4 linked regions of the Sus scrofa genome follow. The main gene of each other region encodes a partner of the protein of the gene in region 4 in a complex. Links are inferred from orthologs where the notes say so. Each region holds a gene or a part of one and is shown on either strand. Other genes may lie near its edges.

What was found.
Region 1: the proteins of TAB1 (region 4) and XIAP are in contact, whole or in part, in a crystal structure (PDB 2POP), measured with the Homo sapiens proteins. The link is inferred for Sus scrofa from reciprocal best matches to the Homo sapiens genes TAB1 and XIAP. Residues at the interface, in NP_006107.1 of Homo sapiens: Glu99, Ala100, Arg103, Thr201, Gln202, Leu203, Glu212, Asp213, Phe216, Arg217, Gln220, Arg241, Glu269, Glu271, Ile272, His273, Ala275, Gln276, Pro277; in NP_001158.2 of Homo sapiens: Phe33, Ala34, Ser38, Gly39, Pro41, Ser43, Ala44, Ser45, Thr46, Arg49, Tyr75, Ser78, Ala79, Val80, Gly81, Arg84, Phe92, Ile93, Gly95, Tyr97, Leu98.
Region 2: the proteins of TAB1 (region 4) and MAPK14 are in contact, whole or in part, in a crystal structure (PDB 4LOP), measured with the Mus musculus proteins. The link is inferred for Sus scrofa from reciprocal best matches to the Homo sapiens genes TAB1 and MAPK14. Residues at the interface, in NP_079885.2 of Mus musculus: Val385, Tyr386, Pro387, Val388, Ser389, Val390, Pro391, Tyr392, Leu405, Ser406, Leu407, Val408, Met409, Pro410; in NP_036081.1 of Mus musculus: Gly110, Ala111, Asn115, Ile116, Cys119, Gln120, Lys121, Leu122, Thr123, Asp124, Asp125, His126, Phe129, Val158, Asn159, Glu160, Asp161, Cys162, Leu217, Thr218, Gly219, Arg220, Thr221, Leu222, Asn272, Val273, Phe274, Ile275, Gly276, Ala277.
Region 3: the proteins of TAB1 (region 4) and OGT are in contact, whole or in part, in a crystal structure (PDB 4AY6), measured with the Homo sapiens proteins. The link is inferred for Sus scrofa from reciprocal best matches to the Homo sapiens genes TAB1 and OGT. Residues at the interface, in NP_006107.1 of Homo sapiens: Pro389, Val390, Val392, Pro393, Tyr394, Ser396, Ala397, Gln398, Ser399; in NP_858058.1 of Homo sapiens: Asp441, His506, His508, His509, Asn567, His568, Pro569, Gly641, Tyr642, Thr643, Lys644, Ala646, Gln849, Phe878, Pro904, Val905, Ala906, Pro907.

The regions. Positions count from the first base shown.
Region 1 is NC_010461.5:101,420,576-101,424,330, forward strand, and holds part of XIAP (E3 ubiquitin-protein ligase XIAP), read left to right. Parts: intron 1-1,286; coding exon 1,287-1,365; intron 1,366-2,323; coding exon 2,324-2,366; intron 2,367-3,755.
Region 2 is NC_010449.5:31,857,256-31,859,833, forward strand, and holds part of MAPK14 (mitogen-activated protein kinase 14), read left to right. Parts: intron 1-934; coding exon 935-1,108; intron 1,109-1,306; exon of another isoform or gene 1,307-1,388; intron 1,389-1,930; coding exon 1,931-1,998; 3' UTR 1,999-2,578. UniProt on the Homo sapiens protein: Serine/threonine kinase which acts as an essential component of the MAP kinase signal transduction pathway.
Region 3 is NC_010461.5:57,548,456-57,552,210, reverse strand, and holds part of OGT (UDP-N-acetylglucosamine--peptide N-acetylglucosaminyltransferase 110 kDa subunit), read right to left. Parts: intron 2,955-3,755; coding exon 2,802-2,954; intron 767-2,801; coding exon 514-766; intron 1-513. UniProt on the Homo sapiens protein: Catalyzes the transfer of a single N-acetylglucosamine from UDP-GlcNAc to a serine or threonine residue in cytoplasmic and nuclear proteins resulting in their modification with a beta-linked N-acetylglucosamine (O-GlcNAc).
Region 4 is NC_010447.5:8,839,165-8,842,919, reverse strand, and holds part of TAB1 (TGF-beta-activated kinase 1 and MAP3K7-binding protein 1), read left to right. Parts: intron 1-2,031; coding exon 2,032-2,168; intron 2,169-2,538; coding exon 2,539-2,692; intron 2,693-3,605; coding exon 3,606-3,692; intron 3,693-3,755. UniProt on the Homo sapiens protein: Key adapter protein that plays an essential role in JNK and NF-kappa-B activation and proinflammatory cytokines production in response to stimulation with TLRs and cytokines.

The sequences.
Region 1 (3,755 bases), on a different chromosome or scaffold from region 4:
TTTCTCTGGTGACCAAAACATTATGTATCATAAATATGACATTCAGATGATTCCTTTTCTTTTTTCTTTTTTTTTTTTTTTTTGTCTTTTGAGGGCCGCACTTGCAGCATATGGGGGTTCCCAGGCTAGGGGTCCAATCGGAGCTACAGCTGCCAACCTACGCCAGAGCCACAGCAATGCCAGATCAGAGCCTCATCTGAAACCTACACCACAGCTCAGGGCAACACCGGATCCTTAACCCCCTGAGCGAGGCCAGGGATTGAACCCACAACCTTATGGTTCCTAGTTGGATTCGCTTCTGCTGCACCACGACAGGAGCTCCAGATGATTCCATTTCTAAACACCAAATTAGGAATGTCTGCTTTTGTTGTTGTAGGAAGTGGGCTCTTTAATGATGGGGACAAGAGAACCCATGTTGCAGAGAACTTATCACACCCCTTTAGCAAATACTGCTGAATCTCACTGATTCTAAGACACATAATTGTTCACAGTTTAAATTTGTAAAATCTGGACACATGTGATGGTGGGTGATAATGTAATTGGCAGTGGTGGTACATCATATAATCATGCTGTTTACAGTTAGTAGCATCTTAAAATGATGACATTCTAAATGTCTCTTTGTCATCTTGCCTCTTTAAAATAAAGTACACACAAAAAAAACCAAAATAAATAAAATAAAGTACACAGATGCGTACAGTGATATGAATTTTTGGCCTGCAAAAGAGTACAACTTGAAATTTCAAAATGGTAACTTGAAAATAAATCTTAACCTTTAGCAACCTTAAAAGGAAAGACTGAAAGCCTAAAAAATTCCTTTAAAATGTACAATTAGTTAATCTAAATAAAACTCAGTAAGATTAATGATTTAAGGAATTCCCTTGTGGCTCAGTAGGTTAAGGATCCAGCGTCGCTGCTGTGGCTCTGGTTACAGCTGTTGTGCAAGTTTGATCCCTGGCCCAGGAACTTCTGCATGCCCCCCCAAAAAAAGATTAACTATTTAAAGCTTCTTTTAAAATATCAAGGTGCTAATTTAATAACTTGCTTAAAAGTTGAAGGGTCTCAAGTTTATATTTTTTGCTCTACTAACATTAGCATATTAAGATAACAATGGGAACATTATTTTAACCTTAAAATAAAGGTTGGATAGAGAATTGAATAACATTTTATTTTGTGGCTCCTTAGATCAAAAAGCAAGTTAATGGAATTAAGATGATGGAAAGTATATTTTTACTTATACCTTACTAATTTATGAGTTACTAGAGTTTAACTTTATTTTAATTGTTTAGGTGTAAATATCTGTTAGAAGAGAAGGGACAAGAATATATAAACAGTATTCATTTAACACATTCAATTGAGGAGTCTCTGGTAAGTCATATATTATAGATTATGTATTTTCAAATATTACACAACTTGTTTTGCAATGATTTCTTGGAGTAAAATTCACAGTACAGTATTTTAAATTAATAATATGTGGCGAGCTTAAAGGGGAGATCTTGAAGAGTGCTAGTTTTTCTTAATCCAAAGCATATTTTTGAAAAGGGAATTGAACTGATTTAAGTTTTGCTCAGGGCAAAAATGGGCTTGAAGAAGTAAAATACTTAAATCACTCAGCCTTCTGAAATTATACTGTATAATGTGATTTATATTCATAAATAGTTCTTATCTTTTCATAGACAGTCTTTAAAATCTCAAAAATGTATCTAAGTTGATAGTGTGGCCTGGGGTGGCCAAAGCATCAGTACTATGTGCAAAGAGCCTTGGACTAGAATGGGAGACAAGAGTTGCCATTATGGCCCTGCCATGAACTATATTGTCTTGATCAAGTTGTTTAATCTCTCTGAGCCTCACCTTCTTGTCTTGTCTGAAATGAATGGATTGGGTTAGATGATCTTTTAACTTCTAGCTTCATCAGTCTGTGCCTCTTATGACTACTCATATGTTAAATTGGAATAAAGCCAATTAATAAATTCATTATTAATGTAACTTTTAAAATTGAGGCAATTGCCTTCTACCCAAAGGAATTCTAGGAGTTTCTGTCATGGTGCAGTAGAAACGAATCCATCTAGGAACCATGAGGTTGTGGGTTCGGTCCCTGGCCTCGCTCAGCGGGTTAAGGATTGGGCGTTGCCGTGAGCTGTGGTGTAGGTCGCAGACGCGGCTTGGATCCCGTGTTGCTGTGGCTCTGGCGTAGGCCGGCAGCTACAGCTCCAATTAGACCCCTAGCCTGGGAACCTCCATATGCCGTGGGTGCAGCCCTAAAAAGATTAAAAAAAAAAAGAAGAAGAAGAAGAATTCTAACTTACAATTCATATTTCTATTTTAGGTGAGAAGTGCTGAAAAAACACCATCATTAACTAAAAGAATTGGTAAATATACTTACTAAAATAATTTGCCAATTTACTATAGCTGTTATATATAAGGTGGAAAGATAAACTGATTCTCTCGAGGTATATTTATTTGAGATAAGATTGCTATAAATTAAAGAATTAATGAAGTACCTATAAATTTAAGTTGGATATTTATATATTAGGAACATTCATTCAGAGGTTAAACAGTTTTTTCAAGTTTGAGAGGAACAGCCGTAGGCTGTCCATTGCCATTTCTGTTAAAATCACAACAAGGAGGATTAAATGTATTTTTGTCCCTGGAATTTCTTCAGTTAGCCAGGATTGTGAATCCAGTGTTCTACTAATGACCGGCCCTAACCTACGTGATTCCTTATCCCATGCCATCTTTTTCTCTTCACCAGCTTCTTCACAGAGGAGTACGGTTTGGTTTGTTTACCATTACCTTATAGAGAGGTAGAGGTTTTTTATCACAAAGATAAAACATCATAGACATCTTTAAAAATAAAAAGTATGCAGGGAAAAAAGTATGCAGAAAAAGATATTATGTTAAGCAACAAAGATATTGTTATCCCACCTCTCAGATGAAGAAACAGAAGTTAAGTGACCTGCCCATGATTATATTACAAATCTTTAGGGGAACTAGGACTGTAAATAAGGTCTTCTGAATCCCACATCACACTACAGATCTCATTTTCAACCTGGGCATCGCATTTGAAAAATAATAAATTTAGAGTATTCGTGATGATTCCCTACTCCCTATACTCATAGCATGATCTATTTAGTATTTTAAGGATTACAAGGCAAGAGAATACTACTATATATATTCATAAATATGCTAGAGAAGGAGAGCCACTTTGATATTATTTGATAAGGGTTTTGTAATGTATATAAATTATACAGTTTAAGAAGTCATTTATGGGAGTTCCCATTGTGGCGCAGCAGAAACAAATCTGACTAGGAACCATGAGGTTGTGGGTTCAATCCCTGGCCTTGCTCAGTGGGTTAAGGATCCAGCGTTGCCATGAGCTGTGGTGTAGGTCACAGTCATGGCTCGGATCCCGAGTTGCTCAGCTGTAGCTCCAATTAGACCCCTAGCCTGGGAACCTCCACATGCCACAGGTGCGGCCCTAAGAGAAGCAAAAAAAAAAAAAAGAGAGAGAGAGAGAGAAATCATTTATTCCATCCCGTATTTTTGAAATTATCCAGAAGCAAAGATTCTATAACATTTCTCTTACAATGAGATCCTGCTGTGTAGTATTGAGAACTATGTATAGATACTTACATCGCAACACAACAATGGGAGCGAAAATTAAGTATGCATGTATGTGTAACTTGGTCCCCATGTTGAACAGTGGAAAAAAGAATACAACATTTCTCTTATTCATTTATTTTTTGGCCATACACATG
Region 2 (2,578 bases), on a different chromosome or scaffold from region 4:
GTTCCCACTGTGATGCAATGGGATTGATGGTGTCTCTGCCAGACTGGGGACATGGGTGTGATCCCTGGGCTCGCTCAGTGGGTTAGGGATCCAGCATTGCTGCAGCTGTGGCATAGATCACAACTCTGGCTCAGATTCAATCCCTGGCCCAGGAACTCCTCATGCTGCTGGGCAGCCAAAAAAGAAAAGAAAGAAAAAATACAACATCCATCCATGCACGTGCACACATATATTTAAAAGAGGAAAGGGGGAGTTCTTGTCATGGCTCCGTGGTTAACGAATCCAACTAGGAACCATGAGGTTACGGGTTCAATCCCTGACCTTGCTCAGTGTGTTAAGGATCGGGCATTGCGATGAGCTGTGGTATAAGTCACAGATGCGGCTCAGATCCCGAGTTGCCATGGCTCTGGCGTAGGCCAGTGGCTACAGCTCCGATTCGACCCCTAGCCTGGGAATCTCTATGTGCTGTGGGTGCAGCCCTAGAAAAGACAAAAAAGACAAAAACAAACAAACATAAAAGAGGAAAGGGGAGTTCTCGTTGTGGCTCAGTGATAATGGACCCAACTAGTATCCACGAGGTTCAAGGTTCCATCCCTGGCCTTGCTCAGTGGGTTAAGGATCCAGTGTTGCCATGAGCTGTGGTGTAGGTTGTAGACCCAGCTCAGATCCCTCGTTGCTGTGGCTGTGGCCTAGGCTGGCAGCTACAGTTCCCATTCAACTCCTAGCCTGGGAACTTCCATGTGTTGCAGGTGTGTCCCTAAAAAGACCAAAAAAAAAAAAAAAAAATAAAAGAGGAAAGGAGTAACATCCCAGAATTGAAGGAGAATTCTTTGTTTTGGTGTAAAAGGTCAAAACTGTGTTTTGCTTAATAAAGCATACATTTTTGGCAGTGTGTTAAAAACTCTTTTTTCCTTCCAATCTGCATCACTGATAGCTGTTGACTTGCTGGAGAAGATGCTTGTTTTGGACTCAGATAAGAGAATTACAGCAGCCCAAGCCCTTGCGCATGCCTACTTTGCTCAGTACCATGATCCTGATGATGAACCAGTGGCTGATCCTTACGATCAGTCTTTTGAAAGCAGGGACCTCCTTATAGATGAATGGAAAAGTAAGTCTGAGCATGATGAACACGTAGCTTTAAAAATCTTTGCCAGGTGAACCACAAACCAAAAGCTGTCAGTGGGGGAGGGCAGGGGGGTGGGGGGTGGAGGTGCGGACTCCTGGTTAAATCCAACTTGTTAAACCTTGTCGTTAGGTCTCTAATGCAGAATGAGTATGTTCCTCTGATGGAAACTGTCTGTTGTAGATGATGACACTCTGGACCTTTGAGATGCTTCTGTCTGGTCTGATTTTGTGCACAGCCCCTCACGTCTGCATAGAACTTTGAGGTTCTCAGAATTTTTGCATTTATACCATCTTTCCCAGCTAAGTAGGGGATAGGGTGCATTTACAGTTTTATAATTGATAGAACTTGGGTGAAGAAAGTTAACATCTTAACTGTTACCTTAGACCTAATTAGGGACACAGCCAGAAATAGAACCCAGGTCTCCTGTGCTCAGTTTCATAGTCTCTCCATAAAACACACATTCAGAAAACTCCAGTGAAATTTCAAAAGCCAGGACTATCTGTTGCTACAGCAAATGGGATTACTACGTTATTCTCAAGCATCTTCAGAGAGTTTTAAAGAGGAGGCACTGGATGATTAAAGAAGCAATAAAGGATGCTTCTCTTGTATGTATCCTTGAACTTCTGTGGAATCACATGTTCCATCAGGATATCACACACAAACGGTGAGGCAGTTATTTGAAGTGGCCCATGGAACCACTAGTCTGGACAGGGAGGAAGGATCTTGAGCTTAGAAGTTAGGGTGCTTGCCAACAAAATGAATAGTCCGAACTTTCACGTCCTCCTTTTCCTTCCTGATTTCTAGGCCTGACCTACGATGAAGTCATCAGCTTTGTGCCGCCACCCCTCGACCAAGAAGAGATGGAGTCTTGAGAATCCGGTTTCTGTTCTGCTGATCCCACTTCACTGTGAGGGGAAGGCCTTTTCATGGGAACTCTCCGAATATCATTCAAGTGCCTCTTGTTGCAAAGATTTCCTCCGTGGTGGAAGGGGGGGTGTGTGCGTGCCCATGTGTGTGTGTGTGTCTGTCTGTCTGACTTTGTGGGAGGGTAAGAGATTATGAGCAAACTATGATCACAGTGACTTTACGTGGAGCGACCCCTGCTCCGTGGCAGTCTCTGCTTGTTCTTTGTGAAAGTCAGCTGGGCAGCAGGAGCTGCCATCTTGTTAGGGCTTCTTAAAAGCAAAGTAAAAAATGTTAAACATCCCAGCCCCCAGTCATGCTTTTGCCATTTTGGCCTCTCCTGCGGCCACCCTTGTTGGTAGGGGTTTGGCTTGACCACACCCCGCAGAGGCACAGAAGAAGGCTCGCACCGTCTGTTCGCTTCACATCTGAAGCCGTCCCTTCAAAACGTCAGCCAAAAGGACTAGCTGGCTTCTCTGCGCTCATCTATGACTAACTTGCTTAGCATGATTCTCAGAACTCAACAGGTGTACCTAAAACTATAAATGT
Region 3 (3,755 bases), on a different chromosome or scaffold from region 4:
TGCAATAAGAAAGATAGTAATTCCACATCTGAGAATGCAAATAGCACAGTTTAACATTATTTATGTTAAATATCCACACAATGTAGATGAGGAGTGCTCAAACTTAAACAAGTCTTGTTTTCTATCATCTTACCCTACATGTTGCTTCTAGCATACATGATTTCACCTGGAAGTGCCAACCCCAAAGGAGATTTTAAAAAGAACAAGCAGGAGTTCCCGTCGTGGCGCAGTGGTTAACGAATCCGACTAGGAACCATGAGGTTGCGGGTTCGGTCCCTGCCCTTGCTCAGTGGGTTAACGATCCGGCGTTGCCGTGAGCTGTGGTGCAGGTTGCAGACGCGGCTCGGATCCTGCGTTGCTGTGGCTCTGGCGTAGGCCGGTGGCTACAGCTCCAATTGGACCCCTAGCCTGGGAACCTCCATATGCCTCGGGAGCGGCCCAAGAGATAGCAACAACAACAACAACAACAAAAAAAAGAACAAGCAAGATTCCAATGATTTATCAGCAACTCACCTGGCATAGTCACCATAGGTGTCCCTGCCCAGAGGACATCCATCCCTGTGGTGTGCCCATTACAGAGTGGAGTGTCCAGGCAGACATCAGCTAGCTGGCCTCTCCGGACATGTTCCTCTTTAGGAGCAACGGGTGAAAAAATGATGCGGTTCTGGGGAAGGCCCATATTTTGTGCGTACTGTTGAATATTAGGTTCTCCTACTGCTGGAAAACGCAATAGCCATAGTACACTATTGGGAACACGCTTCAGAATCTAAAACAGGGAAAACAAGAACGGGTATGAATATTATTTCTGCCCTTCTCAAGAAAGGTTCTCTTTAATTTCTAATAATTCTACCATACTCTATTCTTTTCATCCAGATAGCAGCCTACTGTGAACTTAAGTCTTTCCTTCACACAGATAAATTAGATCAACTGAATTATAGGTTCCTGTTCTGCTTAGCTGTCCCCAAAGATAGTTCAAAGAAAGAAGAGACGGATGCAAGCAGACACAAAACAACTTGCTAATTGGCAAAATCTGAAGCAGCTATGGCCTATGGGAATTGATACTAGCAGTGGTTTTGGTCCATGAGATAGGAATTTTCCATTTCAAATTGTAAATCCCCCACCATGGCACAACAAATAAAAGTTAGCTCACATCTGCCAAACTTTATTTGCTTAATCTAGGTCAGGGGTCAACAGACTTTTTCTGTAAAGGACCAGAGAGCAAATTATTTTTGGCTCTGGTGCCAACATGGACCCTTTCATAACTATTCAATTCTGCCCTTGTCACTGGAAAGCAGCCATAGGCAATATTTAAATAAGTAGGCGAGGCTGTGTGTCAATCAAATTTTATTTACAAAAACAGGCAGTGGACTAGATTTGGCCCAGAGACCATAGTTTGCCAACCCCTAATTTAGATCTACATCTACTCAATGTATCATAAAAGTTCACCATCCCTTCTCTCAAAGCCACGGGAACAATGGACTTCAGAACATGGACTTCAGAATTTAGAATATTTTGGGAGTTCCCGTCGTGGCCCAGCAGAAACGTATCCAACTGAGAACCATGAGGTTGCAGGTTCAATACCTGGCCTCGCTCAATGGGTTAAGGATCCAGTGTTGCCACAGAAGCGGCTCAGATCTGGTGTTGCTGTGGCTGTGGTGTAGGCTGGCAGCTGTAGCGCCAATTAGACCCCTAGCCTGGGAACCTCCATATGCCACAGGTGTGGCCCTTAAAAAAGCCAAAAAAAAAAAAAAAAAAAAAAAAAGAGAGAGAGAGAGAAATTTAGAATATTTTAGATTTTAAAAACAAACTAGTACAGTGAATATAAATTACGTAACACTCTCAGCAAGAGCTCCCTGTAAACAAACATATTATTTTTGCATCAAGATGTAGGAATATTCATACTAAATGGAATAAATAAAGAACCATAAATAGCCTAACTTCAGTTCAGGTAGTTCTGCTGCCAAATAAATTTATCACGAACTTATGAACATGCTTTTTTATGGTTTTTTGGTTTTTTTTAATGAGGAGGTGAAGATTAAGAGACAATAAATCTGTACTCATCTGCTTCTTCTTCTCAACTCTCCTCTCTCCTTTAAAAATACAAAACAGATAAAAAACTAGATAGTAATCAGGAAAAAAAACCAAGAATTATCTCCATTTTAAAAAGCTCTATGGAATAAGAGCCAGATACAGATAGCAAAGTTTAGAACCTTCAGATGTCCTGCTTATACAAACTGGTCTGATGAACTAACTGAAAGGTAATGGCATAAACCAGTTCCTTCCTGGTTATAACTCTACAATATTGGAAGAATGATGTTAAACATGGGTCGGATGTACCTAACAGCTCTGCTATCAGATTAGACCATGGGTTGGCAAACTACAGCCTGTGAGCCAAATCTGGCACATTGCCTGTCTTCATAGATAAAAATTTCTTGGAAGATACCTACACTCATTCATTCACATAATGAATATGGTGTTTTCCTGCTACAATGGCAGAAGTGAACAGATGTGACAGAGTATAGACGGCAAAACCAAAAGTATTTATGCCATCTGGCCTTTTAAGAAAAAGCCTGCTGATCCCTGCTTTTCGACACATAAATTCTAAAAGTTCATAATGTGACATTTAGACACTAGGAAAAATCAAAAATCACTGAAAATCTACAACCCTTGAAGATTAGACATGAGCACAACAGCTCCTGAATGGAGATGGGGGGCGGGGTGGGCAGGGCAGTCTCAGCAAGATGGCCTATATACAGAATCTCTTAGAGTCTCTAGACAACAATGAATCCACATATACTCACATTTGCCCACATCTGCAAAGTAGAAGGGTCAATTTTATATAACTGATTAAAGTTACAGTACACAATAGCATCTTCTGGTAACCCATACTGAGAACGTGTGGTGACAATAATAGTACGGGGAACCTCCTCTCCAGTGGCAGCCTTATTGTTGATCTAGAACAAGAAAAAGAAAATGATGATTATATTTAAAGTCAACATAGTCCAATAGTTTTCAATCAATAAAGAATCCTTATGATGCAAAGTGGTATAACCATTTTTTTAAATTGAACTATAGGAGTTCCCATCATGGCTCGGCAGTTAACGAACCCAACTGGCATCCATGAGGATGAGGGTCCTTGGCCTTTCTCAGTAGGTTAAGGATCTGGCATTGCCATGAGCTGTGATATAGGTTGCAGACGCAGCTCAGATCCCGCACTGCTGTGGCTCTGGTGTAGGCCTGCAGGCTACAGCTCCGATTGGACCCCTAGCCTGGGAACCTCCATATGCTGCAGGTGCAGCCATAAAAAGACAAAAAACAAACAAAAAAATTGAAATACAGTTGATTTACAGTGTGTTCGTTTCTTCTATAAAGCAAAGTGAGTCAGCTATACATATATATTCTTTTTATATTCTTTTCCATTATGTTTTACTATAAAATATTGAATTATCATTCCCTATGCTATACAGTAGGAGTGGTATAACCATTAAAAGTCATGTCTCTGAACTATAATGAGAATATATTCATGATACCTTAAAGGAAAAAAGCTACAGCGTTATCTTAATTTGGAGAAGACTGTACTATGCAAAGTCTTACCCTAGCCAGAGTTCTCTTCAAATCTCAATTAATCCAACAGCAAGCTTTTGCTCACTTTTTTCTCTGTGAATGAAATGTCTTTTTCTAAATCACACCCACTTTTCAAGGCTAAATTTAAATTACCCTTCCGAACAATCTCTACGAAGACTGCCTCTCCTCAC
Region 4 (3,755 bases):
AGCTGCCGGCCTACACCACAGCCACAGCAACACCAGATCCGCACTGAATCTGTGACTTACACCATAGCTCACGGCAATGTCAGATCCTTATTAACCCACTGAGCAAGGCCAGGGATTGAACCTGCATCTTCATGGATTCTAGTTGGGGTCGTTACTGCTGAGCCACAAAGGGAACTCCAATATAACCGTATTTCATACCAGTAAAATGTACACTTAAAAGTGGTTAGAGTTTTGTCCTGGGTATTAACCACAATAAAAAGAGGGGGAAAAGGGGTTACGTGCCGCATAATCTCATTTTGGGCCTTCTTGAAAAGACTGTAGGTCAGTGGTTGCCTGGAGTTAGCAGAGCCTGTGGCTCAGAGGGGACAGCATGACGGTGTGTTTCGGGATGACGGGCTGTTCTGTATCTTGATTGTGGCAGTAGTTACACAAATCTCTGCAAGTATTAAAATTCATAGACCTGCACATCAGAAAGGCAGTTTTACTGTATGTCAATTTAAAAATAAAAACAACCTCCCACACCCGGCTGAAGTTGCTCTAGGGTGCAAAGCACAAAACCAAAGCGCTAGAATAAATACAGCATAAAAGCAATTAAAATGAAAAAAAAAAAAGCCATAAAAGTCACTCCCTGTCAGTAAGTAAATAAACAAACGATGAAATTTGCCACAAGAGGTAACCACAGGTTTTCACATATCTGATTGCAAAAGCCTGTTGAAGTGGTTTTCACATCCTTTTTTGAAGACTGTCACTGCTAACTTCTAAGGAGTTGTGCACAGTATTCCTGCTTGTTTAATGTTTCAATAAAGCTTTCAGTCCAGGTTTTACCCTCCTTACGGTTGAACCTTGATTTTCCCCGTTGTTGTAGTTCGCTGTAGTTCAGCGTGTGGCACGAGAGAGTCTTTGTGAACCAGGCACAGGTCTCGGGTGAGGCCAGGTGTAGGGGAAGCTTTCAGGGCAAGGCAGTGGATCGAGCCCGGGCCTTGTGTCAGGGCTGTTTCTGGGGCTTAGAAACTGCAGGTGCTCAGAATGCACCCCGAGGAGATTGGGCAGGGGCCGGGACAGCCGTGTGTGTGTGTGTGTGTGTGTGTGTGTGTGTGTGTGTAGCTCCGTTGTGATTGTGTGTGTGAAGCTGCCGTGTGTGTGTGTGTGTGTGTGTGTGTGTGTGTGTGTGTGTAGCTCCGTTGTGATTGTGTGTGTGTGTGTGAAGCTCTGTTGTGATTATACTGAACAGCCTGCTTTGAGATCTTGGGGTAGAATGGGCATCAGAAAGGGGCAGGAAGGAGTCGGGGGCCAGGTGTAGGAGGGGCACACGAGAGGGCTGGCACCCAAGCCTGGAGAGGGGCTTCCCAAAAGAAGACTTCCTGGAGGAGGTGACTCCTGAGCCAGAGTCCCAAAGGACATGGAAAGTTGCTAGACAAGGACAAGGAGGGAAAGAGGGGGTGTGGACAGGGCACTGCAAGCGTGTGGTACTAGTGGAGGAGGAGGGCAGGTGGTAGAGGATTCTAGGGTGGCAAGGGGGCCAGGAAGAGTGACCGAGGCAAGCTTTAGTAAGTTGCTTTCTCAAGGTGGGGTCCTGGGCTGCGTGACTCACCCCCAGCCTGCAAAGCAGATGTCCTGAGCCCCGCAGGATCAGCCTTTCTGGAAATCTGTGGTTGTACCAGTGCCAAGGGATCAGAGTCAGAGCCACTGCACTGTGAGATGGGGAGCCAACGAAGAGTTTATACCAGGAGCGTCTCTCTCACTCGTGCTCCACGGTGGAGTGCTCACCTGGAGACACAACTGAGCCTTGCATTTGGGGACTCTGGTCGTTTTCAGGTTTCCTGGGGAAGAGTTTGCAGAGTAGCCATGGAGCCATGCAAACCTTTCTGCAAGTGTTTGTTCATACCCCCCCCTTGTCATCTTCCAGGAGGCAGTGGAACCCTGCGGGTGGTGCTCGGAGCCTGCCGGGTTTGGGTTGGGGAAGAAGACGCTGAAGTGGGGTCTGCTCTGGGCCAGACGGTAATGCATTGGGGTTTCCTGGTGTCCCTCCAGGAGCAGCAGCCGAGCTGGACGGATGACCTGCCGCTCTGCCACCTCTCTGGGGTTGGCTCAGCCTCCAACCGCAGCTATTCTGCTGATGGCAAGGGCACCGAGAGCCACCCACCGGAGGACAACTGGCTCAAGTTCAGGTGAGAGTGCCAGCAGTGCTCTCCTGGGCATCAGAAAGAGGTTTGCAAGCCAGAAAAAGCAGTTTTGTAGAGTCTTGCATGGGACTTGCTAGCGAGACGTGGCCCATGGGAGGTGTGTCTCCTGTCGCTGCCACGTCTAGACCTCAGACCGGCTGAGGGCCTGCTCTGGGGGGAGGGGGCAGTCCAGGAGGTCACGGCCAGAGTGAAATGATGGCCCAAGTGGGGGACCCACTGGGCCCCTGAAACCACTGCTGCCGCATCTTCTGTTTCCCCAGTTCCTTCCCCTCCCCACCCCCCTCCCCCTGGAACTGGCGTCGCTCTTCTGTGAGCCCCTGGTCTCAGGCTGCCACCCACCCTGTCCTTCTGTCAGGAGTGAGAACAACTGCTTCCTGTACGGGGTCTTCAACGGCTACGATGGCAACCGGGTGACCAACTTCGTGGCCCAGCGGCTGTCCGCGGAGCTCCTGCTGGGCCAGCTCAGCGCCGAGCACACTGAGGCCGACGTGCGGCGGGTGCTGCTGCAGGTACGGGTGCGAGGAGGCTGCCCGTGACCGGTTCCCTGACGGTGCAGTCGGCCCTGCAACCGTGGAGCGCCGGGTTAGCCCGGGCTTGGTCTCAAGGCCCTGCCGGCTCCTCGGCTCTGCAGAGGAAGCAGCTCTGGGAGGGCGCCCACGTCCCAGGGCGCAGGGCTGGGCAGCCAGCAGCGGTCCTGCCCCACGATGGGCTGGCGGGGCCCTGGAGGAGGGGCTCCCGGGGAGGGGGAGGGAGGGCGGTCACCTTGGACGGGGGGTGCCCGGGCTGGGCCTCCTCACTCATGGTTGGCTGGCGCCCGATGCCAGTTCCGCATGTTGCTCTTGTTTTGGACGTTTCCCTCCTGGCATCTCCACTTGGAAGCAGGTCCGGAAGCACTTAGCTGTAGACGAGAAGGGTGGATTCCTGTTCCTCGAAAACAGCGTGTCCGGCCATTTTCTTGCCTTGTCCCCGGTCTCAGGGCCCCGTGCCGGTGATTCCCAGCCAGTGCCCCTGGGGGTCCCTCAGGATGTGGCAGTGACACTAACTCTGAGCCACGCTCTGGGTGCCCAGGGCGGCTTCTCTCAGTCACCTGTGTCTCACAGATGAGGAGGCTGGGACTGCCCAGCCGGCAGGTGCAGAGCTGGCCATCACCCCGGGCGGCCTGACTCCAAGCCTGTGCGCTTACCTCTCTGCCGTCCCTGCCTCTCTGGTCACTCTGCAGTGCCACTGGGAAGGCAGCAGTGCCATGGGGCCACGTCGTTGTCAAACTTTGCAGGAGCAGCAGTGCCCAGCGCTGCCGTGTATGAATCCCTCACCACCTGATGGCCCGCAGTTGATACAGCTGTCGCTATTCATAGCGGGTGTTTCAGCATCAGGTGACAGCAGTGTTTGAACTGGCCTCTGCCCCCCGTCCTGTGCCCCCAGGCCTTCGACGTGGTGGAGAGGAGCTTCCTGGAGTCCATTGATGATGCCTTGGCCGAGAAAGCGAGCCTCCAGTCCCAGCTGCCTGAGGTAGCGTCCCCAGCCTGTGCCCCAGGAGGAGCAGGTCACGGCCTGGCTTTGCTCGGAGCAAGG